2 linked regions of the Tamandua tetradactyla genome follow. The protein of the gene in region 1 interacts with the protein of each later gene in a biochemical or structural test. Links are inferred from orthologs where the notes say so. Each region holds a gene or a part of one and is shown on either strand. Other genes may lie near its edges.

The links.
Region 2: the proteins of NHERF1 (region 1) and ADRB2 form a complex in vitro, tested with the Homo sapiens proteins (3 studies listed by BioGRID and IntAct, with this or other methods). The link is inferred for Tamandua tetradactyla from reciprocal best matches to the Homo sapiens genes NHERF1 and ADRB2.

What each region holds. Positions count from the first base shown.
Region 1 is NC_135332.1:15,205,510-15,212,740, forward strand, and holds the start of NHERF1 (Na(+)/H(+) exchange regulatory cofactor NHE-RF1), read left to right. Parts: upstream 1-4,224; 5' UTR 4,225-4,461; coding exon 4,462-4,902; intron 4,903-7,231. Other genes in the region: RAB37 (ras-related protein Rab-37), read left to right, coding at 577-642, 1,225-1,281, 1,363-1,439, 1,593-1,698. UniProt on the Homo sapiens protein: Scaffold protein that connects plasma membrane proteins with members of the ezrin/moesin/radixin family and thereby helps to link them to the actin cytoskeleton and to regulate their surface expression. Necessary for recycling of internalized ADRB2.
Region 2 is NC_135346.1:29,580,510-29,587,830, reverse strand, and holds the start of ADRB2 (beta-2 adrenergic receptor), read right to left. Parts: upstream 3,009-7,321; 5' UTR 2,790-3,008; coding exon 1,533-2,789; 3' UTR 1-1,532. UniProt on the Homo sapiens protein: Beta-adrenergic receptors mediate the catecholamine-induced activation of adenylate cyclase through the action of G proteins. The beta-2-adrenergic receptor binds epinephrine with an approximately 30-fold greater affinity than it does norepinephrine.

The sequences.
Region 1 (7,231 bases):
GAGATATGAAACAGCTTGTAAAATGAATGGCCAATCCATGGCACATGTGCTGCCACCTCCAACCCCATGCTCATGGCAGACATCACTAATCAATCTCAGTACTTTTGATCACTGAGTCTTTCTGTGGCCTCAGAATCCTCAAAGGGCACTCCAGGAAATCGCTGGTCACTACCAAGGATATGTAAGGTGACACCTCCAAGCCATCCCCTAGAACTGAGTTTTGTACTGTAAAGGAGTTGGTGAGGAAGGCCACTCGGGGGAGGTGAGACTTGAGCTGTGCCTTGAGTTATGGATAAGAATAGGGCTAGGGTGCACAGGTAGTGGTTAGAATGCCTGCCTTCCATGCGGTAGACCCGATTCGATTCCCAGACAATGCACGCTTCCCCCCACCCTCCCCCCTAAAAAAGAATAGGGCTAGAGAAGGCAGAATGTGGACCCAGATGAGAGAATGCACAGGGCATCATGTCCTGGGACCAGTGAGTAGGCCAGGGCAGAAGAAGGAAGGGCAAGAGGGAAGAGGAGAATGGCCTGGACCTTGGCCTGGCCTGGCTCAGCTCAGCTCACCCTCTCCCACAGGCCTGGCTCACTGAGATCCATGAGTATGCCCAGAGGGATGTGGTGATCATGTTGCTAGGCAACAAGGTGAGTGGCTCAATGACAGGGCCAGCCCACAGCCAACTCCCCACAGCCCCAAGAGTGTGATCTGGATATGCTTTAACAAAGGATGCTTCCCAGTCCCCAGCTTAGGGGTGACCTCAGCCCCTCCTGTCTATCCTCTTAAAGTTTTGGAAATGGCCTCCCCCAGAGAAAGCCTAAACTGCTGCCTGAGAGATCCAGGGTTGCCTGGCTACTCAGCCCCCATCAGATCATAGTGGGTGGGGACGAGGGTCAGGGACAGAGATTGGGAAAGGTTAACCCAAACTGCTGTCGCCTCTCTGAGGCTGGGCCACCACACCCTTTGCCAAGGAAACTTACCCACCTCCCGGGCTGGGGGAGAGATCCCAGGGATGGGAACTCGGTGACCCAGCCTGAACAAAGCAGAGCCCCTGCTTTGTTCACAGCCAATCACAGCCGCAGCCTCACCCCCCAGACTCTGACACTCCTTCCTCTCAGTCCCGTAGGCCACCAGCAGGGGGTGGGCAGTGGCCACTCCTGGGGCAAAAGATGGGCTAGCTGGGGCAAGGCTCCCTGACCCCTCCCCAAGTGACCCATATGGCTTGACAGGCGGATGTGAACAGTGAAAGGGTGATCCGTTCGGAGGATGGAGAGACATTGGCCAGGGTGAGTGGGTGCCCGCGGGCTGGGGTGAGGGGCGAGGGTGGCCAGCGGCAGCAGGCCCTGAGGACACCCTCTCCCTGGCAGGAATACGGAGTTCCCTTCATGGAGACGAGCGCCAAGACCGGCATGAACGTGGAGTTAGCCTTTCTGGCCATTGCCAAGTGAGAGCTGAGCAGGGGAGGGATACACCCCTACAGGCAGGGTGCATCCGGGTATCCAGCAACACTGGCCGGGCCTCTGCACCGGGCCCGGGGAGTGGGGCAGATGCTGGGCCCCTCACTCCCAGCTCAGATCACTGCTTCTTCCTCTTCAAGGGAGCTGAAATACCGGGCCAGGAGGCAGGCTGATGAGCCCAGCTTCCAGATCCGGGACTATGTGGAGTCCCAGAAGAAACGGCCCAGCTGCTGCTCCTTCCTGTGAATCCCAAGGGCTGGGTGGAGGCTGCTGAGGCCCAGACGATGCAGCTACCTCCCCACACCTGGTGTACTCCTGAGCAGCTGAGCAAGGGGAGAAAACAGAGGGACGCAGTGCCCAGCCCCTTCCCTAGAGGGAGCTGTCTTCCCACTCCTTCTCTAGTTACTGTAGTTTCCCTGGCATCTCAGGGGAGGGTAAAGCATTTCTATTTCACTTTAATGATACCTAATTTAATACAAAAAAGGATCCCCAGGGTGCCCAGAAGACCAAGGTAGGGACACTGGCCCAGTTGCCTTCCAGCACTAGGACCAGGCCTGCCTCCAGGCCACACAGAAGAGGCTTTGCTCCAACTCAGCACCAGGGGGCACTGATGCACTTCTGCCCAGAACCCTAGGGTCCAAGGGCAGGTAGGGACCTGTTTCCACCCTCTGTGCAGCTGGAGAAGGGCTCAGTAAACCCATTCTTCACTTCCTCCAGCTCTCCAGGGAATAATTCTCCCAATAAGATGTGGGAGGAGCTAGACTAAAGCCTCAGGGAAGCTAATAGATATGGAGATTGGAGAATGCCCCAGCTCCCCAGAGGGGAAGAAAGAAGCAACAGAGACTGGAGTCTATGTGGAATACCTTCTAGCCTTACTGAAACCCCCCTCCTGGAGGCATGCCCCTTTCCCTCCTGGATACAAGCACATTGCGGCACCTGAGGATATTTAATTCCTGTTCTCTGGACCTCAGATCCCTGCTCTTATCTACCCCCAATCCCTCCCCAAATTTCTGGTCTTATCTGCTTTTCTACCTGTGCCTCTAGACACAAGTAGAGCAAGGGAAGGGTTTTTCTTCTTGTCCCAAACCCTTGGCAGGCATGCGACCCCCTAGCTGCTTCTTCCAGCAGCTGTAGTACTTCTGCTGGGTTGAGTCAGATAAAGAGAAACCCCTGGCTCCTGCAGCAGGTGGGAGACAGACCCAAATAAACCTCTCCCCACGTGAAGCCCCCTAAACCTAAGCTCTGCCTCTTCCCTGACCACCTAGGCCCATTTCTTAACTTCTCAGACACTAGGGTCAAATAAACTTTATCTCTACTCCTTCGGAGTCCAGTTTGGGAATGAGAGGTCCAACGTAATGTGTGCAAAACAAGGTCATTTAGTTAAGTGTCCGGTGAGGACCAGGGGTGGCAAGGAGTCTGGGTGGGGCCAAGGTCACAGGTCTCCCAGAACCCTGTGGATTGGGAGTGGACAGGAGATATGCAAGGCATGTCCCAGAAGCACCTTTACCCTAGCTCTTAGGCCTAGGAAGCTTGAGAAAGAGGTAGACACAGCATATTTCTGGGGATACTGCATTTGCTTTCAAGGCAGAAATCTTGCTGGCTGAGCAGACTCAGCTGCTCTTCCTTGGGCCTGATAAGGAAGTTCCCTTGGCCTCTCCCAGAGGGAGCAGGGAGGGGTCACACCTCATCAATCTCCCTTGGGACCCAAGCGACCCAGTCACAAAGGCTGTTTTGGACCTCTAGCATTTGTGTGTTTGGGGCATTAAATTGCAGTATTTTGGAAGTTATAAAGGGTATGTACACTGCTGGCTTTGAGGCACACGTGGGAGGGGGGCATCGTGTTGAAGGGATGTTATTGTGTTTGGGGGGAACTGTCATTGGGAGCCAAACGTATTCAATCTTCATCATTCAACAGAGTACACCCCTAACAAGAGTACACCCCAGCCTCTGATGGGCCCTCACGTGCCAAAAGGAAAAGCTGCAAGAAGGCTTCTCTTATACAAGCCTCATTTCTCTTTGTTGAAAAAAGTCAGGTGTTCTTTTCCTGCGGTCTGTATCCAGACGTGGAATTCCTGACTCTGTCCTGCCTCTCCCCACCCCAGCTCCCTAGCCTAAGGCCGATGCCATGGCCACACCACTGCCCGAGGTGTCCTGTCTTTAGACGGCTCCCCGCGAAGCCTCGGGCTCTCTGCAAAGCGCTCACCCTCCCTGGAAGGGATGTGAAGCTGCACTCCCATAAACGGATCCGGGGATAGCAGAAACTGACTCCAAGAACGGGAAAATATCGTCATCTAAGCAACTTTATTGGGTCAGAGGTGGTCCTGTGTCTTATTCACAACCCCGTTGGGAACTCGCTGACCAGGACCTGGAGCGGTTTCCCCGGCAACAATCGTCCACCCCTCAACTGAAGCTACACCCAGGATTTGGGCCGTTAAAACGTTAGGGTCCTTTACCCTAGGGTAGGGTGTCCTCAATCCCCCGCCACAGGTGGGTGAAACCAGAACGGAGCTCACGGGCCCCTCCGCCCAGTACCAGGAACTCGGCCCTGCCCCCGCCCCTCCCGCCGCGACTCCGGCCACTTGGTAACAAACACTTCCACTTCCTGAGTCCTCTTTCTTCGCCCGCCGCGGGGCGCCGCGCCGAGCACTGGCCCCGCCCCCGCAGGATCCGATTGGCCTACGACGTTCACCCGGCCACAGCGCCCCCACCCCGTGGGCCCTGATTGGCCCGCGGCGGCCCACACCCTCGGCGCGGCCCCGCCCCCGGGGTAAGGGGCTGGCGGGATTCTGGAAAGCTCAGACGCCGCGCTCCGCGGGGATTGGTCTGCGCGCCTTTCCTCACGCTTCCCGAAGTCGGCGGCCGCCGCTCCCGGGACACCTGCTCTCTCCGCTCGGCTGCGGGGAGTCCCTGCCGCGCTCCCTCCCGCCTCCCGGCCTCGCCAGGCCGGAGAAGGGCTGGGCCGGCCACCGACGGGACGCGCGTCGCGCCGCTGAGGCGTCGCGGGGCGAGATGAGCGCGGACGCGGCGGCCGGGGCGCCCCTGCCCCGGCTCTGCTGCCTGGAGAAGGGCCCGAACGGCTACGGCTTCCACCTGCACGGCGAGAAGGGTAAGGTGGGCCAGTTCATCCGGCTGGTGGAGCCCAGCTCGCCGGCGGAGAAGGCGGGGCTGCTGGCCGGGGACCGGCTGGTGGCGGTGAACGGAGAGAACGTGGAGACGGAGACCCACCAGCAGGTGGTGAGCCGCATCCGCGCCGCGCTCAACGCCGTGCGCCTGCTGGTGGTCGACCCCGAGACGGACGAGCGGCTGCAGAAGCTGGGCGTCCAGGTCCGGGAGGAGCTGCTACGCGCCCAGGACGGGCCCGGGCAGGCCGAGCCACCCGCCGCCGCCGAGGCGCCGGGGCCTGGCGACGAAAAAGAGGCGCGCGAGGCCGAGAAGAGCCCCCCCGAGCGGGTAAGTGCGGGGCCCAGGCGGGGTGACGGGGACCCGGGCGTCTCGGAGGTGCAGCCCCGCGCCCGCTGCTGTCTTTCTGGAACTCGAGCGGCGAGGAGGGGCGGCTGCTTCCGCCCGCCGACCTGGCGCATCTCCAGTTCCTAGGCAGGCCTGGGGGCAGCGTCCCACGACCCCAGCATCCTTTCCACACTGCCTGGGCCCCTGAGCGCCGTCTGCCCCTCTTCTCGGTTGGTCTTGGGGTTGGCGGGGAGGGGATGGGGGCGGCCCAGGAGAGCCCCGTCCCTTTGCCTCGGCTCTGTTGGCGTTTTCGCCCGTTCCTCGGAACCCTCCAATTAGTTGTGTAATGGCCCTCTCCTCGGCGGTCCCCACCCTGTAATTGGGCCGGCAGGAGGGACCCGCCGCCTAACCTTCCTCCTCGGCCCCTAGGAGGGGGGTAACTGAAGCCGGAGGAACAGCGAGCGTGGCCCCGACTTCAAAAAGCCAGAAGAGTCCCAATTTCCTTTACATGCGGAGGCCCAGCCCCGGAGTGGGAAGAAAGGGGTGTCGGGCGGTTACTCCTGGTCTCTGTCTTTCTCCTCTGCCCGAACCCTCCATGGTTTGCGCCCTTCTTCAGCTCTCCTGGACTTCATCGTCCTCCTGCAGACCTGTCTAAGCAGCTGTGTGGGGGAGGGATGGGAGGAGGAGACGCAGAGGCGTCTGGGGGTGGTGGCGGCTCTGCCACCCAGGAGAATTTATGATTCTCAGGAATGTGAGGAGTAAGCGCTAGCCTGTATCAGGGCTCGGCAAGGAGGACTTTGGAAGAGGAGAAAGAATGCAGGGGGACGGGTTGGCAGTCGGTGTATCATACCTAGGCAGGTGGGCTTCCCCCAGCATCCCCTGTGGCACTCTTGTCCCCTCCCAACAAACTGGTTGCTTGCTGCTTGCCTGCATTTGGTGTTGCCCCAGACGATCCCAGTTTGGATCAGCTGCAGGAGGGGCAGCTGGCAAAACAGGCATTGCTGTTCTGAGCCTCATGTCCCCTAGGGAGGGACACTGGGAGGTCCCCCCGGGTGCAGACAGTGAAGTGCAGGGCCTAGGCTCTGCCGGGGTCCAGTGAGCTTGCACCAGCTCTCCCTGGTGGCAGCGTGTAGGAAGGGTGCCAGTGGTGCCAGTTGGAGCCTCCTTGGGCAGAGGAAGGGCATAATTCGGCTTTGAGGTGGAAGGTGGAGCCCCAGAAGACCAGCTGGTTTAGTGTAAGTGAGGGAAGTGAGGTCACTAGGAGTACTGTCCAGCCGGAGCCGGGTGCTGGGAATGCCAAGGCCGCCAGGCTCCCACTTCCTGCCAGTGCCAAGCTGGCATTGGCAAGGGGTGGGGGAGGAACCAGAGCACCCCTGGCAGGGGGTTAACACCAGGGAGTTAGAACCAATGACCTCTGGTTCCAGGTGGAAAGCTGGTTTGAACTTTGTGCTGAGTGCATCGATTTGCCTTTTTTGTTGTTTGTTTTGAACTTTGGCACCAACACAAATAACGCCCCCCCCACACACACACACACACACACGTTGCGGTTGTGTTCAGCTCCTCCCTTTGCCCTTTTTGTTCTGCTGGGTGCAGTGCCCTAGGGCCTGGGAGGGAGTGCGGAGACTGGAGGCTTGGAAAAGGCAACGCACACCCAGAGAACAGCCCTGCTCTGAGGACTTCTCTGGATGAGAACAGACTGAGACTCCCCAGATGTTGGTTTGCTACTCGGCCTACCTACACTTGTTTGTACTTTGCTAGGTCAGGAGAAGGGAGCAGAACCACTTCCAGAGAGTCCTAGGGAAACCATAACCAGACCTCTCTCAGGTCACAGGTCAACAAGCAAGCCACAGGGCTTCCCTGAGCCCTGGTTTTCCCATCTGTGAAATGTGGGTGTTGTAGGATCTCCCAAATAATTGGGAGGTTCTTGAGCTCCTACTAGGTGCTTAGTTGAGCTCCTTCAGGCCCGGGCGCTCATATCCCAGATTGTGTAGCTGACTCCTTCCACCTTATTTATGGCCAGTCAGGCCTGGCCAGTCCCTCTCCGTATGGTGAGGGGTCAGGCAACCCACCTTGCTGTAAGAACTTTTTTTTATTTTCGCTAAAAGCCATTCCTTTCCTACATAAAACATCAAATCACCTTTTTTTACTTCTTTTTTTATTAATTTTTTTAAAAAATACAAGAAAAACATTCTTAACATATGATCATTACGTTCTACATATGAATCAGTAATTCACCATATCATCACATAGCTGCATATTCATCATCATCATTTCTTAGAACATTTGCCCCAATTCAGAAAAAGAAATAAAAAGACAACAGAAAAAAATTCAT
Region 2 (7,321 bases), on another chromosome or scaffold:
CGATATAGTGGAAAAGAGCCACTCACTGGCCTAGGGCCTAGCACTAACTGGGTGAACCGGGAAAAACCACCCAAGATAAAGTGGTACAATAGACAGAATCTAAAAATCTGTTTGTGTTTTAAAAGTTTATACTGGTGGTATCAACCTGGGAAGATTTCACATTTGGCAATGTCTGGAGACATTTTTTGGTCATCAGGACTAAGGCATCTAGTGGGTCAAGGCCAGGGATGCTGTTAAACATACTAAGGTGCATGGGGCAGCCTCCCCCACCCCCACCTTCACCACAAAGAAGACAAAGAGTTATCTGGCCCAAAGTGCCCATAGTGCCAGCACTGAGAAACCTTGGTTTATACAAGGGGACAGAAGAAAAGAAGGAGGGAAGGGGTTAAAACCCTATTTCTAAGTCATGAGATATTCATCAGCTATTTTTCAGCTTTTTCTACCTATAAGCAATGCCCTTTTATTTTCTCTTGGAATTATGGGGCTATGTTTGAGCAGCTTTTTCTCAAGAACATCTCCCTTATTCATCCCTAAAATGCCAAGTCCTGATGCAGTACAAAGATCTCCACTATAAGATACGGCAAAGATATAAATACAGGCAGTTTCTAAACAAGTAGAACTGGAAGGTGGGTGGTGGGGGGGTGTGGAGGGACAAAACATATACTCATAACTCTGTGTCTATGATTCAGTGTTTCTGATGTAACAGAACAGAATAATAATTATAGGACGAGCCCAGTTATGCCAGAAGCATGCAGAACTGATCTGGGGGCATGAGTGCTAGGAGAGATACAGATTTGCAGCAGCAGCAGACTCAAAGGCAAACGAAAGGGTTAAGCAATCAGCACATGTCATTTTGTATTCTGCATTAAGTCTGCATCATTCTGCATTAAGTCACTGAACAGTTATGACAAATAGTTACCTGTGGTTTCCAGTGGGGGAGAAAATAACACTCCTGTGAAGGGGTTTTGGAGAAACAGGTGCAATGAAGTCATGGTCAAACAATTTATTTACTGTAAACTTTAGACTTTGCTCAGGAAAACAACCGAAGCTGCCCCTCAAATCCCTGCCTACAATACCCCGTTTAGCAAATAAAAGGAGCGGGGAGAGTCCATGTTCACAGCTGAAAGGTCCGAGATACTCAAGATCCTCAAGTCCAAGGGTGCAGGAAGGAAAGTCTCCTTCAGATACAAATTACCAGCAGCAATATTTCACCCCTAATACTTGGCCAATGAGGTAGATACACGGAAAAGTTGCCAAAACATAGCAGATCCAGGTCCTCTGGGACGAAAGCCCTTTAGACATAAACTTAAAAGTTCCATGCAAAGAGGAACTCAACTGTACAAGAAACAAATAATCACTCGAATATGTTTTCTCTTTTTTTACAGTTTAAAAAAATAATAATAAAAAAGCAGAAGGATGTCCTTCCTCCTGCACCTCTCTATACAATTTTATTCTAATTTATTACACTCAAGTTAAATAGTCTCTTTAGTGTTTTTTTTTGGGGGGGGCCTTTAAAAAGTAGAAAAACTGCATTACAGCAGTGAGTCATTGGTACTACAATTCCTCCCTTGTGAATCAATGCTATCGTTAGGCACAGTACCTTGACAGCTCCCAAAGTCTGCTGTGCCTGGGGGGACCTCGCACAGCAGTTCGCTTTCTTTCTCTTGCCCCAGGTTATATCCACTCTGCTCCCCTGCGTAGTCAGTCTTACTGTTGGAGCTGTTGGAGTAGCCATTCCCACAGGCCTTCAGAGAAGCCCTACGCAGGCACAGAAGCTCCTGGAAGGCAATCCTGAAATCTGGGCTCCGGCAGTAGATGAGGGGATTGAAAGCGGAATTGACGTAGCCCACCCAGTTCAGGAGGATGTATACTTCCTTGGGGATGAGGTTGTCCTGGATCACATGTACAATGTTGACGATGAAGAAGGGCAGCCAGCAGAGGGTAAAAGTGCCCATGATGATACCTAAAGTCTTGAGGGCTTTGTGTTCCTTCAAGCAGAACTTGGAGGCCCTGCGATGTCCATGGCCACTCCGCCCATCCTGCTCCACCTGGCTGAGGTTTTGGGCGTGGAAGCGGCCTTCGGATTTGTCAATCTTCTGGAGCTGCCTTTTGGCCACTTGGAAGACCCTGGAGTAGACAAAGACCATGACCACCAAGGGCAAATAGAAGGACACAATGGACGAGGCGATAGCGTAGGCTTGGTTCGTGAAGAAGTCACAGCAGGTCTCCTTGGCGTAGCAGTTGATGGCTTGCCGGTGGGTGGCCCGGTACCAGTGCATCTGGATGGGCAGGAAGGAGGTGAGGCCTGACACAATCCACACCATCAAGATGACCACCCGGGCCTTATTCTTGGTCAGCAGGCTCTGGTACTTGAACGGTGAGGTGATGGCGAAGTAGCGGTCCACCGCAATCACGCACAGGGTCTCAATGCTGGCCGTGACGCACAACACATCGATGGAGGTCCAAAACTCGCACCAGAAGTTGCCAAATGTCCACATTTTCATGAGGATGTGGCTGGCCCCGAAAGGCACCACCGCCAGGCCCATGACCAGGTCAGCACAGGCCAGAGAGGTGATGAAGTAGTTGGTGACCGTCTGCAGACGCTCGAACCTGGCGATGGCTGTGATGACCAACACGTTCCCAAACACGATGGCCAGGACGATGAGGGACATCACGATGCCCATGCCCACCACCCACGCCTCGTCCCGTTCCTGCGTGACGTTGTGGTCCGGCTCTTGGCTTCCATTGGGCGCCAGCAAGAAGACGCTGTTGTTCCCGGGTTGCCCCATGGCGCGCAGGCTGGCAGGTGAGTGCACTGACTGCCGGCGCACCGGCCGCGCCTCAGCGGGCGGACCCCGGGCGGGGCGCTGCGGGCCACCGGAGGACGCCCGGAAGCCTCATTCAGCGGCCGTGAGGTGGGTTTGGCGGGGGCGCGTCCTGCACACTCAGCTTTGTGGGGTGCCCTGGGCTCGCCGTCCCCGTCAGTCCCGTCCCCGCGCTCTGGAGAAGCCGCCTCAGAGTGCGCCCTGCCCGTTATGTGCACTGGACTTTAGGGGACCTGCCCTCCCGGTGACGCGCGGCAACTTTCCGCCAATGGCGCGCGGGCAGCCCTCGCGTTCCCGCCCCGTCCCCCCCCGAGCCCCCCCCCCCCCGCCACCTCCCAGCTCGCGGGCTCCCGGCGTTGGCGCGGGCGGGGCGCAGCTGCTCCCCGGCGGGCGGGCCCATCACTCCCTCCCGGCTCCCCCGGGCGGGTCCCAGGGGGCTAAAGCGGGGGCTGGTGTGCTCGCCGGCGAAGCCAGGCGCTTTGGGCTCTGGTGTGGCTGTTACCTGTCGGTCCCGGGCGCCTGTGCGGACTGGGCAGCGCACGGGCACCTGCGGGAACAGAGGTGAGGGCGCCCCCCGAGACACGCATATACAGGCACAAATGCTCCCTGACAGACATGCTCAGACTTATACGGAACCACAGACACCGAGACACACCCGTCCAGCGCACCGACGTGCACATTCGCGCGCGCGCGCGCGCACAGAGGCAGACAGGCACAAAGTCACCCTGTCCAACAGAGACGCGGCCAGAAACAAACACAGGTTCACCCAGAGGCACAAAGGCACGGGCACGGGGAGGGAAAGAAGGCAGCACGCACAGACGCTCGCCTGGAGGCTTGCAGAGCCACGCAGACACAGACCTCCTCGTCCAGGAACTCCCCAACGCCCCTCAACCCGAGCAGATATAAATGACGCTCCCCTCATCTCCACCCCCAAACACACACACACACACACACACACACACACACACACACACACACACACACACACACCATATTCCCTTTCAAACATTTGGCAAGACCACAGGAGGTGACTTCAACAGCTGCCGATTTCCTCAGTGCATTCACTGTCAAGTCCTTTTGGTGCCCTCCTTGGGAATTTGCAGGCATTGAGACATAATTTCACTCTGGATTTCCGTGGGAGCTGGGGTGTTCATGCCTGTGTTTGGGATGGAGGGAGGAAGTTTTATGCTTTTGTTTTTAATTCTTGGGAGTGTGGCATCACTCCCTCATTACCTGTTTGAATGGACCTAAGTTGAAACTGAGATACTTTTCAGTTCAATGTCAACTTGGGAATCCCCATTGCAACGAAAACAAAACAAAATAACAACGACAAACCTTTCATCAACCCCAGATTTGTTAATCTGTGGTGTTGAACCATATGAAATTGCCGTTAATTACCCATTTTTACGTTCAAAAATGGTAATTTCATATGGCACAAACTACTTAGAAGGTATTAACATTAAGAAAATTTGAAACTCTAGAAACTATAGTTTCTATACATTTGAAACTATAGAAAGCAAAATATAAATCTTCTTTTAAAATAATCATACCACGATGAGATAGAATGAGGGTAGAGGCTGGAGAACTGGTGCTTAATTTGTGCAGAATTTTTAATAAGCTTGATTGTAAATGTTTGAAAAATGACAGAGGCAATGGAGACACATTATTGTGAAAGTAATTAATGGTGCTGAAATATAGGTGTCATTGTGTTTGAAAGGGGAAGTTTAGGGTAATGTATGCCACTAGAAGGAAAGCTGGAGGATAAAACCTGGGACTGTATAACACTGTGAACCCTTTTGTGGATGATGTTAATAGTACATATGTAAGAATTTCTCCCATGAACTAGAACGAATTTACATTACTACTACAAGCTGTTAATAATAGGGAGGTATATGGGGAAAACACAACTAATGCAAAGTATGGATTAATAGTTAATATTCTTTCATCAGTTGTAACTAAGTCACCATTGCTAATATTAGGGAGGTATAAGGGGGTGGGATTTTTCTTTTTGGAGCAATGAAGATGTTCTCAGATTGATTGTGGTGATGAATGCACAATTCTGTGACAGCCATCGATTGTACTCTTTGGATGGATTGTGTGATGTGTGAGTAAAACTGCTTTTTAAAAAATCATGCCAACTCTTAAAACTAAAGTCTTTTGTACATGAAATGCTTTCCTTTGGCATCTGACATATGATGTTACTGCTAAGAATAAATTAATTTTCAGGGTTTGATTTTCACATATATTAACGGTTTTTGAACAACAAAGTGCTTCAAGCAGTGTAACCAAACATACTTTGTAGATTATATGATAATATAACAACAGCTGACATTTATAGAATATTCTGCTATGTGCTTTTCATGTATTATTCCATTTAATCCTTTCCAAAGTCCATTGGTGGGGGGATGTTACTATTTTTAGCTTAATTCACAAATGAAGCTCAAATAGCTTTCCTGTGGGGGGCACATGGAGAGATAGGATTTGATTCCTGCCTCTCGCACTGATTCTAAAACTCATCTTCCAGTCTTTTCAATGTACTGCATCATTACACACAGGAATGGAGGACAGGGAATAAGCACTGCAATTGGAATTAGGATAGTCAGGTTCCAGAGTCATGTATTCATTGAGTTTTCTAACTCACTGTCCTTAGGCAAGTCACAAAGCTGAAGCCTGATTTGCTCCATCTCTAAAGGGGCAAATAAAATCACTTCCATTGAGTTGAGTAAGAATCGAATGATATAATACCAATAAATACGAGGGTGCTTTTGCACGTATAAATGCCACACAAATATGGATTATAAATCAAGTTGATATAGATTAGCGTGTACTGTTAGTCTCCTGTACCTAAACAATAAAATCCTTTAGGACAAAAGTAATTTGGTGTTTACGCTAGAAGTAAAACCCAGGAGCAAAATTTAACCTACATGTCCCTTTTAATCTCCTTCAATAGTAGAAACTGGTTTGACAAGAAAGATGCCTGAAAAAAAAAAACAAATATTTTCCCTAATAGCCACAAATGTTAGTTAAGGATCTATTATGTTCACATAGTTTTCAAAATATACCCACCCCATATTTGTGTTTTCCAAAACTGGCTCTGGTGTGATGCATTTTAGGAAGAGGCAGTGTCTGTTATGCAACAAGTTCTCTTAAAATATTCATCTACCATGAATTGTGGAACTAAGCCATTTAAAACCTCCTTCCTGTTTGTGAAACTATGGAATAAATAAGCATAGTGTTTAACCTTCAGATACAAAAAAAGAACAACATCAATAAAAACTAAAGACAAACACTAATTGATCATCTAGATTTATACATAAGTCACTTAAATGTTTATCTTTGAATATTTTGGGAAATACCTTTAAAAAAAATCCACAAACACTTAAATCAAGAAGGGAAAGGTGCTATGTAAACTAAGAAGTTCCAGGCCTTGCCCATCAGTCTTGCTAGGAGTACAGTCTCTTTGCTACATTGCCAAACTGGAGGCGATTCCAAGATATTGTCTTCTCGCCAAGAGTCTTTTCTCCTAGATTCCTTTTAGAATCACGAGACTAGAAAAAGTTGGAATGGCAAAGAGTTTACTAATTTAGTTTATTCTCATCTGTTTGCAATTGAAGAAACTGAAAGGCAGAAAGGAGAAGTCCAAGGTGGGAGGGCAAATTAAGAGTCCAGATCTGCTCCTGACCAATGCGTTTCACTTGCCCGCTGCTGCCGTTTCATTTCCCAGCAGAGGAGTTTGACTAATAACTGTTTTTTGTGCTTGAGGCTTTAGACAGTTAATGGTTCAGTTGAAAGTTCTTAGTAGACTAAACGCACCTTTATTTGACGTAAGAAAAAGCAGGCTCTTTTATGGTGATTGATAGTGTCCAGTTACAACTTTTGTTGGTCCCTTAAGACACTGATGTGTCCTTTCCTTCCTGCCTAACAGAGAGTAACAACACATTTTGATTTACCTATCAGGAGTAGAGCTCTGTGGTGCCAGACAATGAATCCCTCCCATAACTGCATGGCTTAGGAACATCTTATCCTGGGTCTTGGTTTAGACCAGATGCCTTCCATCTTTATGATCCTTTGAGAGGAGAAACATTTGTAGATTTCTTTCTAAATGATTGTTTTAAATGTCTGTGCATAACATCACCTCTGTTATGCATTATCTCATTAAATTTGCATTAAATGAGATAAAATTATATAAAATGCTTAGCATGAGTCCTTGCAAAAGAGGTAGTTATTATTGTTATTTTTTATTTTTATTTTTTAGCGTATGGGCTGTAAATTAAAGCCAGTCTCCCGCATGGCAGGCAAGCATTCTACCACTGAGCGACCTGTGTACCCTGTGATTTTATTTTGAACCAAAATATATATGAAGAAAACCTATTTGTCTTATCAAGCCATATCTGTGGAGGGACCCTTTGAAAGCGGATAACAATAATTTATTTTATGTTAAATTGCTGTGAAAAATAATTGAAAAAGGGATATAACTTGGCTCCTTGGAAAAGAAA